Linked DNA regions of Neodiprion lecontei. The protein of the gene in region 3 interacts with the protein of the main gene of each other region in a pairwise test. Links are inferred from orthologs where the notes say so. Each region holds a gene or a part of one and is shown on either strand. Other genes may lie near its edges.

What was found.
Region 1: the proteins of elongation factor 1-alpha (region 3) and ragulator complex protein LAMTOR5 homolog interact in a two-hybrid assay, tested with the Homo sapiens proteins (2 studies listed by BioGRID and IntAct). The link is inferred for Neodiprion lecontei from reciprocal best matches to the Homo sapiens genes EEF1A1 and LAMTOR5.
Region 2: the proteins of elongation factor 1-alpha (region 3) and 10 kDa heat shock protein, mitochondrial interact in a two-hybrid assay, tested with the Homo sapiens proteins (2 studies listed by BioGRID and IntAct, with this or other methods). The link is inferred for Neodiprion lecontei from reciprocal best matches to the Homo sapiens genes EEF1A1 and HSPE1.

Annotation. Positions count from the first base shown.
Region 1 is NC_060260.1:24,485,823-24,490,738, forward strand, and holds ragulator complex protein LAMTOR5 homolog, read right to left. Parts: upstream 2,994-4,916; 5' UTR 2,649-2,993; coding exon 2,614-2,648; intron 2,248-2,613; coding exon 2,186-2,247; intron 2,075-2,185; coding exon 1,960-2,074; intron 1,751-1,959; coding exon 1,687-1,750; 3' UTR 788-1,686; downstream 1-787. Other genes in the region: protein RFT1 homolog, read left to right, coding at 9-509, 629-787. UniProt on the Homo sapiens protein: As part of the Ragulator complex it is involved in amino acid sensing and activation of mTORC1, a signaling complex promoting cell growth in response to growth factors, energy levels, and amino acids.
Region 2 is NC_060263.1:38,384,950-38,389,207, reverse strand, and holds 10 kDa heat shock protein, mitochondrial, read left to right. Parts: upstream 1-1,891; 5' UTR 1,892-2,049; coding exon 2,050-2,052; intron 2,053-2,304; coding exon 2,305-2,472; intron 2,473-3,083; coding exon 3,084-3,227; 3' UTR 3,228-3,475; downstream 3,476-4,258. Other genes in the region: heat shock protein 60A, read right to left, coding at 150-567; something about silencing protein 10, read right to left, coding at 3,674-3,763, 3,840-4,258. UniProt on the Homo sapiens protein: Co-chaperonin implicated in mitochondrial protein import and macromolecular assembly. Together with Hsp60, facilitates the correct folding of imported proteins.
Region 3 is NC_060264.1:21,332,166-21,338,536, forward strand, and holds elongation factor 1-alpha, read right to left. Parts: upstream 4,658-6,371; 5' UTR 4,619-4,657; coding exon 4,475-4,618; intron 3,882-4,474; coding exon 3,273-3,881; intron 2,657-3,272; coding exon 2,381-2,656; intron 1,796-2,380; coding exon 1,439-1,795; 3' UTR 868-1,438; downstream 1-867. UniProt on the Homo sapiens protein: Translation elongation factor that catalyzes the GTP-dependent binding of aminoacyl-tRNA (aa-tRNA) to the A-site of ribosomes during the elongation phase of protein synthesis.

The DNA of each region.
Region 1 (4,916 bases), on a different chromosome or scaffold from region 3:
AATTGCAGGTGAAGGTGCAAGAGAGTGTTAATGTTTTAACACAGCTATGCTCAGTTGTAACATCAATTGGATTGATTGTTCTAGTTTTTGGCCAATCTTATTCCTCACTTTTACTCTGGTTATATGGAGGGCCAAAGTTGACAGCCTATTTACCAGTTTTATTACTGAGATCGCATTGTCTTGCAGTATTACTGTTAGGAATAAATGGAGTTACAGAATGTTATACAAATGCGACAGCAGACAGTAAAACCATTGACCGGAATAATTATATTATGATATATGAGTCTGTAGCATTCCTAGTAGTGTCATATTTTTTTGCATCTTGGTTTGGGCCCGTTGGTTTCATTTTTGGAAACTGCGTTAACATGGCTTTGAGAATTTTGCATTCAACCAAATTTATAAAAAGAAGACACGAAAATACCAAATATAGACCATTATTAGGACTCGTACCTAAACCAATATTCCTTGCATCTTTAATACTAGCAGCTGTTATTACAAAAGTGTCACAGGTAAGAATAACAGTATTAATACTTGATAAAATCTTGAAATCATCAAAAGTTTCTACTGCTGCGAAATGGTAGAGAAATAAACACGGCAAAACTAAATTTATATTTTCCATTCTTTTTAGGCATACTTTTTTCCGAGCGAAAAATTAATCCATCTGTTCATCGGTATCGTAATGTTTGGACTGGTGATGGCTTCCTGGGTTTATGAACATCAAGACCTGGTTCAACTCGGTGTAAACAAATGGCGCGATAGGCGAAACAAACATAAAAAAGATGATTGACCAATGAGTCCTTATTTATTGTTTGTAATATGACTGTATAAAGATTATTTATAATATAGTTACACAAGACAATATGTTAATAGTAAAAATGACAACTGTCCTCATGACTTGGTTCATTAATGTGACATTATTTCCGGACACAATATTTTACATTCAAAGCCATTTGAATTTTTTTTCTCACTTTTATCTCAAACTTAATTTCACAAAAATCGGACGCTTAAAAGTGTGCAATTATACTCTTAAGAATTCCTTATTATTTATTAATAATTGTAATTCAGACAACAAAACAATTTTAATAGAAGGTTATTCTCTCGTGGCAGTGTGAAAACGCGTATACTTGCAGAGTTTTAGTGTGAGAGCCTAAAGCAAAGAAACAAGTGACAAAGCAAATTTGATACGCACCTGGCTTAATCAGGTTTTCTGGTGAAAAACAAAACTCGAGTTAAGCTTGAAGAAAATAGTTCCATTTTCAGAGAATCAAGTCTAATGTTAGAAATAAAAAAATTCCAAGGGCAGACTTAAATTCAAAAGAATAACTAAACTAGTATCACCTTGTACAATTGAGAAGAAGTAATGTTAGGAATGATCAAATCTTGACTTGAAATGCACCCAACTAAATTGGATTATGTATTTCATTACTCTCATTTTGGACATGATTTTACGAGTGTATATAGTCATGGAACTGTGCAAGTGATGATTGATGGAATTTTAGAAGATAAGATTTTGTCTATTATAAACAAAGAATATAATCTTTAATCTGAACAAAATATAGTATTACAGCAAACGTAGAACGAACACTCATTATTGAGCCGTATTTCAAGTAGATATTGTTAAACATAAAGAATCAATTTTAATTCATGTACAAATCCATTGTTAAGTCTCAACGTCGATTTCAGATTTCAGGGTGATATAGCTTTGTAGATAGCACCAACTATAGGCCCCTGACGCTGGATTATGCATTGCCTGAAATCGTTATTGAAGAATTCAAGTTGCACAGCAATTCTGACTTGGAGTTATTCTCAAATTTGCATAAAATAATCATTGTGAATAAAGAATGAGCTCCAATAAAATGATGGGCATTGAACCGAAGTAAACAAATGAGAACACATATTACTTCAGATTTAATTACATATTTCCTTAGTATAAGCAAGTTGAAATGTGCACATACATACCGATTGTCACTTTCTAAAGCAATAATGGGTGCGTTTGATTCAGGCTCTAATTTTGCTACCTCATCAGCAATGGCTGCTATCAACCCAGCGCTTTGCCCAGATGCACTCCCCTTAGCTGAAAATTAAATACATATCTTTTGAGCTTTGACAAGTATGACATTTGGAAATTCATGCAAACATAGAATCAAAAATAGTAAACATTGATTATTAATTAGTTATAGGTTACCTCCTAAGCAGAGGCCTTGACGATCGGCCAAAATGCATCCTATGACTCCTTCGACATTCGTCCTGTAAATATGTCATTATTAAATAACATTCAGAATTTGTACCTACGTCAATTCTGGTATATTTTACCCTTTTCAGTTCTTCATCAAAGGAGAAAAATGAGTTGTGTCAGAATTGATGTTAGTGAAGGTTATGAATGCGGCTACTATTTAACATTATTTATCAAGTCTGAGTATGAAGCCTTCAAGAAAATTGGTTCATACTTTCTAAGCAACAATAAAATTACGTGGGCATTGTTATGAATTTCCAAAGCAGTCAATCAATTGCGTGGAAAAAAAATTCATGAGAAAATTAGCGTATTTTAAATTGTTTGAAATAGGCGCGTCGTAACGTGAAATCTATGAATTTTGTCTTATTTCGATAACTTACACGTTATCCATAGTTTTCTCTAAGTTACGTTCCATTCTGAGGCTCCAACAAAATCGCGGTTCGTAAGTAGTGTGTGAAATTATAAGCAATAAACTGCTATAATCGAAACAAAACTACGAATAGATTTACAGTGACTGGCATAAAACAACTGGTTATTAACCAGTGTGGTTATTTTTCTTTCACGTGAACGCACTCATAGTTCTTCCTTCTTCACGACGACCCGCTGTTGTACGAACTCTTTGATTGTTTATTTTTTTACTTTTGATCTTGATGCATACTTAAATTGATATATTGTATATTGGTCGTTCACTGAAAACACTGAAATTATATATTTATTAATTTGTCAAATGTCCCCTCTTGTCTGACAGCCTGACCGGAAATACCAATTGTAACGTTAAAGTCAAATCAGATGTTATGGTATTTGAAATTGTGGAGAAGTCCCTACTCTTGACTGAAAAATATTAAGACGGGTAAATTAAATGACCCTGGGTAAATTTTTGTGATCAGCTTTTGGCGGGCTAGTGGGCCCAGTGGGCATGAGAGCGTAGGAGGGTTCTGCTCTATCGACTCTATCTAACGGGCTCATACCGACATTCCTAGCAGCCAAAGTAGTGTCTATATGGAAGCTTGGGATTGAGTCGGTGAAATGTGGAAGAAAAGGCGAGGGAAAATGCACCTGCTGAAAAACGTCGAAAACACGGGTTCTCGATTTTTGGCTGTAGCTTTTGATGCGTTGATCGCAGTGTATTGGAACTGCGCCCAATCGGTTTCTCTCGCAAAATCACGTCGATACAGTGCGCCAAAGAATTGGTTCCAGCACTTTTCAAAATCGCAAAAATTTTCGCCAAAGATGGAAAGGGGTGAGCCTTGCTTTTTTTTGAGCAGAAAACTTTTGGTCTCAGATTCGATTTAAATGACCCTTATCCGACCAATTGGACCCTCAGGAACTCAGAAATCGCAGCGAAAAGAGCGTAGGACCAACAGGAGATAAATGGCGAGCGAAAAAGCGCCTGCTGAAAAACGTCGAAAACACAGGTCCTCGTTTTTTGGCTGTAACTTTTGATGCGTTGATCGCAGTGTATTGGAACTGCGCCCAATCGATTTCTCTCGCAAAATCACGTCGATAGAGTGCGCCAAAGAATTAGTTCCAGCACTTTCAAAATCGCAAAAATTTTCGCCAAAAACACAAAGGGGTTAGCCTTACTTTTTTTTTGGGCAAAAAACTTTCGGTCTCGGATTCGATTTAAATGACCCTTATCTGACCAATCGGACCCTCAGGAACTCAGAAATCGCAGCGAAGAGAGCGTAGGACAAACAGAAGAGAAATGGCAAGCGAAAAAGCACCTGCTGGAAAATGTCGAAAATTCAGGTTCGGGTTTTTTGGCTGTAACTTTTGATGCGTTGATCGCAGCGTATTGGGACTGCGTCCAATCGATTTCTCTCGCAAAATTACGTCCGATCAGTGCTACAATTAATTGATTCCAGCACTTTTCAAAATCGCGAAAATTTTCGCCAAAAACACAAAGGGGTTAGCCTTACTTTTTTTTTGGGCAAAAAACTTTCGGTCTCAGATTCGATTTAAATGACCCTTATCTGACCAATCGGACCCTCAGGAACTCAGAAATCGCAGCGAAGAGAGCGTAGGACCAACAGGAGAGAAATGTCGAGCGAAAAAGCACCTGCTGGAAAATGTCGAAAATTCAGGTTCCGGTTTTTTGGCTGTAACTTTTGATGCGTTGATCGCAGCGTATTGGGACTGCGTCCAATCGATTTCTCTCGCAAAATTGCGTCCGGTCAGTGCTACAATTAATTGATTCCAGCACTCTTCAAAATCGCGAAAATTTTCGCCAAAAACACAAAGGGGTTAGCCTTACTTTTTTTTTGGGCAAAAAACTTTTGGTCTCAGATTCGATTTAAATGACCCTTATCCGACCAATTGGACCCTCAGGAACTCAGAAATCGCAGCGAAAAGAGCGTAGGACCAACAGGAGATAAATGGCGAGCGAAAAAGCGCCTGCTGAAAAACGTCGAAAACACAGGTCCTCGTTTTTTGGCTGTAACTTTTGATGCGTTGATCGCAGTGTATTGGAACTGCGCCCAATCGATTTCTCTCGCAAAATCACGTCGATAGAGTGCGCCAAAGAATTAGTTCCAGCACTTTCAAAATCGCAAAAATTTTCGCCAAAAACACAAAGAGGTTAGCCTTACTTTTTTTTTGGGCAAAAAACTTTCGGTCTCGGATTCGATTTAAATGACCCTTATCTGACCAATCGGACCCTCAGGAACTCAGAAATCGCAGCGAA
Region 2 (4,258 bases), on a different chromosome or scaffold from region 3:
TTATGTAAATCATTAGCTCCGATGCTGCCATCATATTCTTTAGTATTGCAACAGATATTGCATGGTATATGACCTAAAGTACAAAAGTCAACTTATTTCATATTTATTATCTATTTCAAAGCGTCACAAAAGGGTGACTAAATACATACCGCGTCTAATTTCAACAGGGTTAGCACCTTTGCTGATTTTCTCAAAACCTTCTTTGGCGATTGCTCTGGCCAAAACAGTTGCGGTTGTCGTACCATCCCCAGCCTCTTCATTAGTATTGTTGGCAACGTCTTGTACTAGCTTTGCTCCAATGTTTTGAAACTTGTCTTTGAGCTCTATTCCTTTGGCTACTGTTACTCCATCCTTGGTGATTTTAGGGCTTCCCCAACTCTGTTCCAAAATAACATTACGACCTTTAGGGCCCATTGTTACAGCTACCGCGTCAGCTAGTATATCCACACCCTGCAGCATCAAAGCTCGAACTTCGGGCCCGAAACGAACATCTTTGGCATAAGATCTAGAGTGGAGATTCAGCTGGCGCAGGGCTACGCCTCGTAACATATTCGGTAGTCTGTACATCTGTGAAATTGAATTGAAATGAATAATTCTTCAGTTGTTGGTGTTTTTCCTTTTTAGCTGTATGGCAGAATTAGGTGTAAAATAAAAATCCAATGCATGATACACTTAAATATAATTAATTCAGGGCAAGTATCTAATGTTCGAATCAATCTATTGCTGTTTAAAATACAAATGAAGGGATTAAAAGTTGTGATATAAATGATTAAATGATGACATGAAACTAAAGCAATGAAACAGGTTAGATTATGATATGAGAAACGTTGAAGCGCGGTTAGACCATGTCTGAAGAGGAGAAACGCCGAACTTGGTTATGTAAAAATTTTACCAGAATAACAGGGTGTGTACAGTGATGAAAAAAGAAAAATATTAAAAATTATATACGAAAATGATTTAAACCGCATTGGATTTTGTATCGAAAAAGTATTTAATGGTAAAATTTGTTAGTTCATCTAATAATTTGCCGAATGCCGCGTGCATAGCAATCTTTTATCAAGTTAGACAAGCCGTACGATCTTAGGATTGGCAGTGGAATAATTAAGGAATATAATAGAATTGTGAAATAACAATAGACTCGATTACCTTCGTAAGTGTTGCGATTGAAAACGTTAGATGCGAAAGGAAGAAAAATGTGAATATAAATCGAGAATCGTTGTCGCCGCAAAGAACCGCGCGTTGCTCCCTGAATGGAATGAGAACAGCTAGGAGGTCTGCGATATCACATGGCCTGCTATCCCCACCAACTCGCTGCTTACTTCCCCTCTCGGCCAACGATCTTTTGTTAAATTCGTAAAAACTCACAGTTCATTTAATATGATTGGTAAAATACTATTCTTCACAAGATGTTTTAATTATTTTAGAAACCGGAACGATCATTAGATACCTTAATTTCCTTTACATACGGATTTTATCCGGCAAAGTTAATCGCCGGTCCATGTGTTTTCTAGAAGTTACGAGATTATAGATGATGCAATAAACTAGAGATCTAAAATCATGCATCAATGAAGTTGGCAATGTTGTCTTAAATAAAAAATTGATGACGGTAAAACGTTGGATGATATTCCTGTAATCGGAAATACTATTGACCAATAAATTATTTACAAATTGATTTTATCATTTGTTGATTATTTCTAGAATCTCCCAAGCAGACGATCGATATAACAATCGACTTCCCATTCTCGCCGCATGGTGGCGCCTCTCCCAACAATGCAGCGACGCGAACGCAACAATGAAAATCCGTCATCGGCAACCGAATCTCGGGAACCTCGCGTTACGTAAGGCGCGTTTATCATTTCGGAGGGGAAAAATTGATCGCTGAATTTGTTTTGGTGGGGCGGGCGGAACAACGAAGCTTCGAGAAAATTCAACCACGGGAGGCCCATTCCGACTCTCGACAAATAGGTTACACAACGTGTGCGTTTGCCGGCTAAGGTTCAAGCTCCCCGATCAACTCGTCACACGCGCCAGTTAAGATAATTCCTCAAAATGGTACGTATCTCTCTGGACCGACTCAATCGCGGTGCCACATAATTCTACGGGAACGATATAAATCCATCATTTAAAGAGCAAATAAATTACAGCTGAATACCCATGTGACTGACATGCATATTAAAATATTTCCCTAAAGTATTAATTTCTTGTTGCCGTTTCAAGCACACTCACAAGTTGATGAGAAATCACGTGTATTCTCGCGGGTAGCATGATGTTCATCATCTCAAATATTTTTAACCTATTTCACAGGCCGTCGCCGCTGCAGCTAAGAGGTTGATCCCACTTTTTGATCGAGTATTGATACAGAGGGCCGAAGCTGTGACTAAAACAAAGGGTGGCATTGTTATCCCAGAAAAAGCTCAAGCCAAAGTACTCAAAGGCACTGTTGTTGCAATAGGTCCTGGATCTAGGAACAATGTAAGTTTCATTCGTAGTCGCTGCTTCTATTCAAACACTAGAGTGACTTCAAATACAAGATAGATTGAAAGTCTTTGCGACCATTCAACTCTATTCTAACCGCTCCTGCTAGGCTCAGTGGAGTCATGCTTCCATGTAAATGGTCACTTCGTTCTTCCACATTTTAATTTTGAAATAACTCATCAAATATAATTAGTAAAATTAAATTTTATTTGATATTAGTTGGTGGCATGTTTTATTTGATTGGAAATCAGCTGAACATTCATATACACCACATTGAAACGAAAATTGGTTTATCTTACTCAATCATTTTTTCTAATAAATTTTTTGCAACAATTATGTTTAATCATGTTTGAGTATTTGGTGGAAATATGTCCCGGAAGTGATATGAAGTAGTAACTTGAACAATATAATTCTTGCTATTTCGACAGCATACGTTTGAAATTCAATTCATTTGAAGTCCTTGATTTTAACGGTGATTCTAATGCTTACACAGTACTACAAGATCCAATATGCTGGCTCTATAATAATAGAATAGAAATAATAATGTATTAATAAAAAAAATTATATCTAATTGATTTGATCGAAACCATGTTTTTTTCTGATTACAGAAGGGAGAACACATGCCTTTGAGTGTCAAAGTCGGAGATGTTGTGCTGCTACCAGAATATGGTGGAACGAAAGTTGAGCTTGAAGAGAATAAGGAGTTCCACCTATTCCGTGAATCTGATATCCTTGCTAAATTGGAATCTTAATGCTGTTGTAAATTCCAACATTCGATGAATGCCAGAAACTGAATATTTGTGGTAGAATGTCCATAATCTCATTGTGACATACCAAATACGAACACAGCCATCATCCGTGTTTATAGAATGCAACTAATAATTGTTAATTAGAATTAATTGAAGGTTATGTTTATTTCTCTGTAAGTCTGCTAGTGCGTAGGTGTCATTATTTCATACACAACGTTGCGTAACGAATAAAAATATTTGTTTAACAATTATTTTTTATCGCATTTTTCGTCTTCATTAAATATTTCCAATCAAGACCTGTATACCACCAATTAATTAATTTCGGTATATTTCATACATGTACTATGAGAAATATTTTTGCGCATGTCTCAAATGTGATATTACATCCAAAACTCAAGTTAGAATTTATTTTGTACATGTTTTCTTTGAATGATTGTTAATTTTTACTTTCACTTCAACTTAATGCTCTTCTTAACGCGAGCATTGATTCCAAAGGTCTCTCCACCATAGCGTGTCTCCTCCTTTCTGACTTCTCTCACCTGAAACAAGCAATTTCAATTATTGAGTAATACAGCTTAAGTGCTAAAAAATATAAATAAAACTACAAATACGCACCGCTCCCTTTCTTCGAATTTTAGCCTTGCGATACTTGTTCCTGAGTTTAACTCTTGGGTTGCGTAGATCCTTCCGACGGTGCGGGGTCAGTCCCTTATTCTTTGCAATTTGGCGAGTAATGGCTCGCTTGCCATCAACATCTTCAAACATAACTTCAGTACCCTGGTTCTCAGTCTCGTCAGCGTTTTCATTCACCTCAGAATTTTCATCCTCCGTCTGTTCAATTGGTTTTTCATCCTGAACAGTTTCAACAAAGTTTCTCTTGCCAGTTTTTATCTGCTCATCAGGTAAAACAGCGGATGGCCTCTTTCGGCTCTTTTTATCAAATTCAACATTGTCCAGATTGTAAAGCGATTGGTTGTTTTCAGCAGCTTTCAATATTTCAACAGCTTCTTCTAACAATTCTCCTTGTCCAGATT
Region 3 (6,371 bases):
TGCAATAATTCTAATCGAAGACTATACTAGAATTGATTAAGACCGCACTTACCTTGCTGTATTTCGTATTCATCCAATTCTGCAGCACGATGCAATTCCCACTTTTGCATTTTCTTATTCTCATCGATGGTATGTCCGTTTTTTTTTTTTGAAAATCAACCGTTCAACCAATTTTCATTTATAATATATAATTAAGCAAATCAAGATTTCATTTCCAAGAAAGCCCTCCATTTGAAACCTCAACTCTAGAAAATATATATTCAATCATCTCCTACATCAATTTGTTGAGCGAAATAAGTTCTTTATCAACTACCACGGAAATTGATTAAATACTCACTTAGCAAAATTAGGCTAAAATAATAAGAATAAGTACATTTAAATATAAATAAAATTATGCATCGTGATTCTCGCGTTGAGAAAAATAAAATCATTAATTGCGACACAACGTACAAAGTTTAGTTAAAAAAAAAAAAAAAATTCAAAATAATAACATTATTTTCTCGAATATCGCACGATATAAGATTTTATTTCCGTAAATAATTAGATAGAAAATATAATTAAGCCGAGCTAAATAATTAATAAGTTTTTCGTTTCTAGTTTTGTTTGTTGTGAAAACAGGAGGAGGGGTGAAGTTTCTGTTGCTATATAGTATTATTAATAATAATAATAATAGTTATTATAGGTAGTAAATAATTACGTTATGCAAGTCGGAATAATAAAGTTGCCAATGAGACGGTTTTTTTTCATCAACTATTTCGAGAAGTTTGACAATATTTGTTTTTCTTGTCATTAAAATTCAATGATATTGTTGTTTGTAATATTTCACGTGGTGGTAGAAGATATATCGTCGTCGTCGTTGCTGCTTGATTAAATTAAAATCTTTTTTTTTTATTTTCAATTTTCACCGTACCAATGTAATCAATCATTCAATTAACCAGATGGTTTCTCGTTACAAATAAAAATAAAAACAAAGAAAAAGAAAAGAAACACAAATTTAATCAGCACTTGTAGTTTGTTCAATTAGTTACCTTGTTGTTATGTTTTTTGCTGATAGTAATTCATGTTGCTCGGTTGCCATCTTTAAAAAGTTATTATTACATTATTACAATAGGTAATATTTTTTCCTGCGAAATTCCTTGCGGTGGAAACAACAGTGCTGCTGTATCAGCCATTCGGATTTAGATAGTAAAAGAAATAATAAACAACGTTTCGTGAATAATAAGCATGGCGCGACGTCAGTCCTCCGTGTCATAATAATCATAATAATGGATATCATAATCTCAGCAACGTTAACTACCATGAGGGTAGCAGAAGCAGCAGCGGCAGTAGCCGACTTATTACTATCGCAATAATAATAATAATAATCAATTAATTGAGACACGGGACAGGGAGGCAGCGGCGGCGCCACCTCACGGTGGTCATCCGTTATAGTAGCTAGTTATTTCTTCTTCTGTGCCTTCTCGGCGGCCTTGGTGACTTTGCCTGTGGCATCCTTGAAGCTGACTGCCTTGATAACACCGACAGCGACAGTCTGACGCATGTCACGCACAGCGAAGCGCCCCAATGGCGGGAATTCTTGGAAGGCTTCGACGCACATCGGCTTGCTCGGCACCAGAGTCACGATGGCCGCGTCTCCCGACTTTATCGCCTTTGGATTCTCCTCAGTCGTTTTACCCGTACGTCGGTCGCATTTCTCCTTAATCTCGGCGAACTTGCACGCTATATGTGCCGTGTGACAGTCCAACACTGGCGTATAACCGTTGCTGATCTGACCGGGGTGGTTCAACACGATTACCTGCAATACGTAATAAGCAAGAATTAGTTATCAATGAAAATAATTTTGTTCATATAGTTTACTGCGATAAATTGCTAACTTGAAGATATTTTTCGTAAATTTACATAATCGAAACCACGAAAAATCGGAAATACAAAATTCAATTGCAGTTGTAATGATTTAAGAAAACGGCTTCTAGTTATTCCATGAATTTTGATGATAATAGTCCAACGAACTTTAATGACCACTGTATCAATCAAATATGAAAAGAATTACAACTCTGCTGAATTTCAGATAGCAAAGAGAAACTTAGTACTTATGGTGAAAAATAAAGTTTCGGTAACTTTTCAGAATGACTAATGAATATTTAATTACCTACTATACACGGTTTCAATTTAATAAAAATCAAGGACACTGTTAATATTAGAAGAGCGTAATTTTCAAGACACTCAGACGCTTCAGCCATCAACAGACCCACAAGTCTTCTGGTGGAAACCGCGAATGAAGATTAAAGCGTCTCATCATAGTGTCGAATAATTCACAAACGAAAAGTACATGAATTAACATATAACAATTTTTATCGAAATTTAATGAATCTGCGGTTACCTGAGCGGTGAAATCGGCGGCGCCCTTGGGCGGATTGTTCTTAGAGTCACCGGCAACGTATCCACGACGAAGTTCCTTGACGGAAACGTTCTTTACGTTGAAACCAACGTTGTCGCCGGGTACGGCTTCAGTCAAAGCCTCGTGGTGCATCTCGACGGATTTTACTTCAGTCGTGAGACCTGCTGGAGCAAAGGTTACGACGGTACCTGGCTTCAGAACTCCAGTTTCTACACGGCCTACGGGCACCGTTCCAATACCTCCAATCTTGTAAACGTCCTGCAAACAAATTCAACAAGCATCAGTTAACCTTCAGTAATGGAAAATGGAGCGAAATATACATTGAAATTTCACCTTCAATTCTTTTGAAAAACGAATTAAAATGACGATCAATAGAATATAATAAACATGTTGGAACATAGAAAATATGTTTGAGTTTAAATTATTCTATTTTGTAAGATTTTTTAATTGTTGGAAAATTTATCTCAATAATTTCGAATGTAAGTATGTGATCCAATTTAATGATTGATAGACTTTTTAACGACTGCATGGTCTACTAAAATTTAACGCATTGAAGGCTACGTATTACAAATGAAATGTCGCAGTTTTCATTCAAAAATATATTACGTCAATTTTTCCAGGATAAGTCAAAATATCTCAGAACTTTTCTAGGACTTCAGGGACATTTTTTGGTTTTCCAGAATAATTGTAGAATTTAAGGACACTTAAGGAGCAGTAGATGTCCTGTAAATATATAAACCCAGGAACAGTTAGGAAGACCTTCTTTTTACAAAACTTTTGACAATGGTTGAAATTTCTCTGCCAGAGTTTCTTGATCAAAATAGTTATTTTTCAATTTTGAATGGACGGAATGAAGCGAATGGACAAAATTTACCTGCAGGGGAAGACGCAGAGCCTTATCGGTAGGTCTGCTGGGTGGGAGGATGGCATCGAGTGCCTCAATGAGACACTTTCCATCAGCTTTGCCTTCCTTGCGTTCGACGGCCCATCCCTTGAACCATGGCATCTTGCTCGAGGGCTCGAGCATGTTGTCTCCGTGCCATCCTGAGATGGGAACGAAAGCGACAGCAGCTGGGGTGTAACCAATCTTCTTGATATAGGAGGAAACTTCCTTCTTAATTTCCTCGAAACGAGCCTCCGAGTATGGCGGCTCAGTGGAGTCCATTTTATTGACACCAACGATGAGCTGCTTGACGCCGAGGGTGAAGGCAAGTAGTGCGTGCTCACGGGTCTGACCGTTCTTGGAAATACCAGCTTCGAATTCTCCCGTACCAGCAGCCACAATCAACACTGCACAGTCGGCCTGAGACGTACCAGTGATCATGTTCTTAATGAAATCTCTGTGTCCCGGAGCATCGATGATAGTCACATAGTACTTGGCAGTTTCAAATTTCCAAAGGGCGATATCAATCGTGATACCACGTTCACGTTCGGCTTTCAGCTTGTCCAAGACCCATGCATATTTGAAGGAACCTTTACCCATCTGCAAATAATATGAATATTAATTTTGTGCTCTCATCAGCCATTGATTCAACTTCCAGATGGTATTAATTTGACACTCAGACGCCTTCAGCCATCAATGGACTTTCTCAAGTCCTCCGGTGGAAACCGCGAATGAAGTTGTAGGGTTATCATCACTGTGCCAATCCAGATTGTTTTTATCAGTGACATCATAAGATTATAACAATATCGAATTGCTGATCAATACATATTTCAATTGGTATTCAAACTTAGATTGCTAACGAGAATTTTTTTTGCTGGGGCAAATAGTGCAGATTTTACATAATTTATGAAATATATCGATCATCAAGCAAATTAATTATCCAAAGAAAAAAATCACAATCTTTTGTACTAATTGGGTTCAAAAGTGTTCAGAAATAGATACATGCTCATTGTTTTGATGTAGATTTAAGCTTTCATTTATGGAAAAATATGTTGAGAGATATGATTAAACAAGCTTAAAGAGCTCTCCATTTAAAAATTTAAGTTACGTGTAGCTATTGAATCAGGTATAAAGATTTTCGGTATACATATCAAGAAAAAGCAAATCCAAAAAAAACAGAGTAGAAACCTCACCTCCTGAGCTTCCTTCTCAAACTTTTCGATGGTACGTTTGTCGATACCACCGCACTTGTAGATAAGGTGACCAGTGGTGGTCGATTTACCGGAATCTACGTGTCCGATGACAACGATATTGATGTGAACCTTTTCCTTTCCCATGTTTGCGTCGTTTCGTTGCTAAAGAGTTCGTCAAAAGAGCTGAAACACAGTGCAAACAAAAGAAGCCGTTAAAAAATCCGCTCTTCAACATGAACTTATACCACGTGGCCACCCCGAAAGTTATGCGTCCAGATTTCAGAAGGAAAAAGACCGACTGCTGCTTGTGCCCTGCGGGATTTACGGGATCGCGCGGCCATTTTGGAACTGTAGATGGAGGACATTTCTTCAGAGAATCACAGAGAAAGGGAAGAAAGCATTGCAGCAAAATACCGACCCGGGAACAACGCGGCGAGTCCTGCTTCCAAACAATATAACGGCAGTTCGATGAACATAGTTGGAAACTATGAGAGGATACGTCGATACGCGATTGCGTCACGTTGCAACATATGTACATATTTGATTAGGTGTATCAGACTACGCAGTGATTCGTTACGAGAGTTCGGAAAGGAAACGGGCATTGTGGTATATTTCGAAGCTCTTCACCTGGAAGGAAGATTGAATAAATGAACGAATGATGCGAAAGTGAGAAGGTTGTACAGTGACCTAAGGGAACCCGAATTGCGGTGACAACTCACCGCCATTACGTGGAGCGATGAACGAGGCAGAGAAGCCGATGAGGGCTGGATGTCACGGAAATAGAGGTCTAGGGCTCAAGGATGAGGAAGTGGGTGCGTTTAATCGGGTTCGAATTTCCCGAAGTACCGGAATTCGCCGGGTGTCTAGTACAGGGACAGTTTGAAGTCGGCATGCGGCCGAGGGTGCTAAGCAGCAGCCGGTCGGGATCGTTACATTTTTTTCACCGAAGTAGGCGATATTTCGTTAAACTACACCGAGGGCGACGTCGCCGGGAATTTAAGGTTCAGTTCTGGCCTTGATCCGAGCCTCGATGGCTGGACTTTGTTTGTGATTTCGACGGATTACTGAACGGTAACAGAGAGCACGCACGTACGACCACTCACCTCCAGATGCCACGACAGAAAGAGATCGTTGTAGGAAAGTGACATGCGCACACGGCTTCACCGACGCAGCCTCGAACCCAGCGACGGCCGACTATCGATCCCTCGCTCCTTCCGCGATCTAAATTTTTCTAAAAATTATCACCATTTGGAGTTTTTACCTTACGAAATTTACAGTGGTCTCAAATGGCCAATTGATCGACACTTTTCGCTGCAACATTCGATTCTGGAAAATTTTGAATTGGACGTTAATCTCGGCACGGCTTTGGGTTCGAGGCTTCGATTCCTTCAAACCTTCAGGTGCGTATCCGCTACCGCTGGCCTCGGGCGCATACAATCTACACCTGCATGGCTGACGTTTGGGGCCAGTGTCTTCCGGGGCGCAATCGTCGTTCCCCGTTTTTCCTTGGCAGTCTTTCGCGATTGTTATCGAGATGACACGCATGACCCGGGCTGTTTACTCCAGATTTGAGGGCCAGATCTTGATTGATCTATCTGAACTAATAGTGCAGTTTTATACTGTTCTCGTTAGTCTGGTCTGATTTTTGTAGCATAAATTAACGACGCTATTCGACTGTTCTAACGCATTTTAACAGATTTTATCCAGCTTTTCGTGAACTACGGATTTGCATTTGTTTTGTAGAATAACAGTACTTTCTTTTACTCTTCGTTGAACCGCAATACATGCCTGCGAATTCCCGGGGCTCAAGGATCGCGAGATGCGGGCGTGTCACGAATGCCACGCCGTGAAATTTTTAAGGGAGGCAACTAGCGTTACAGTCGTGTATTGTAAGTCA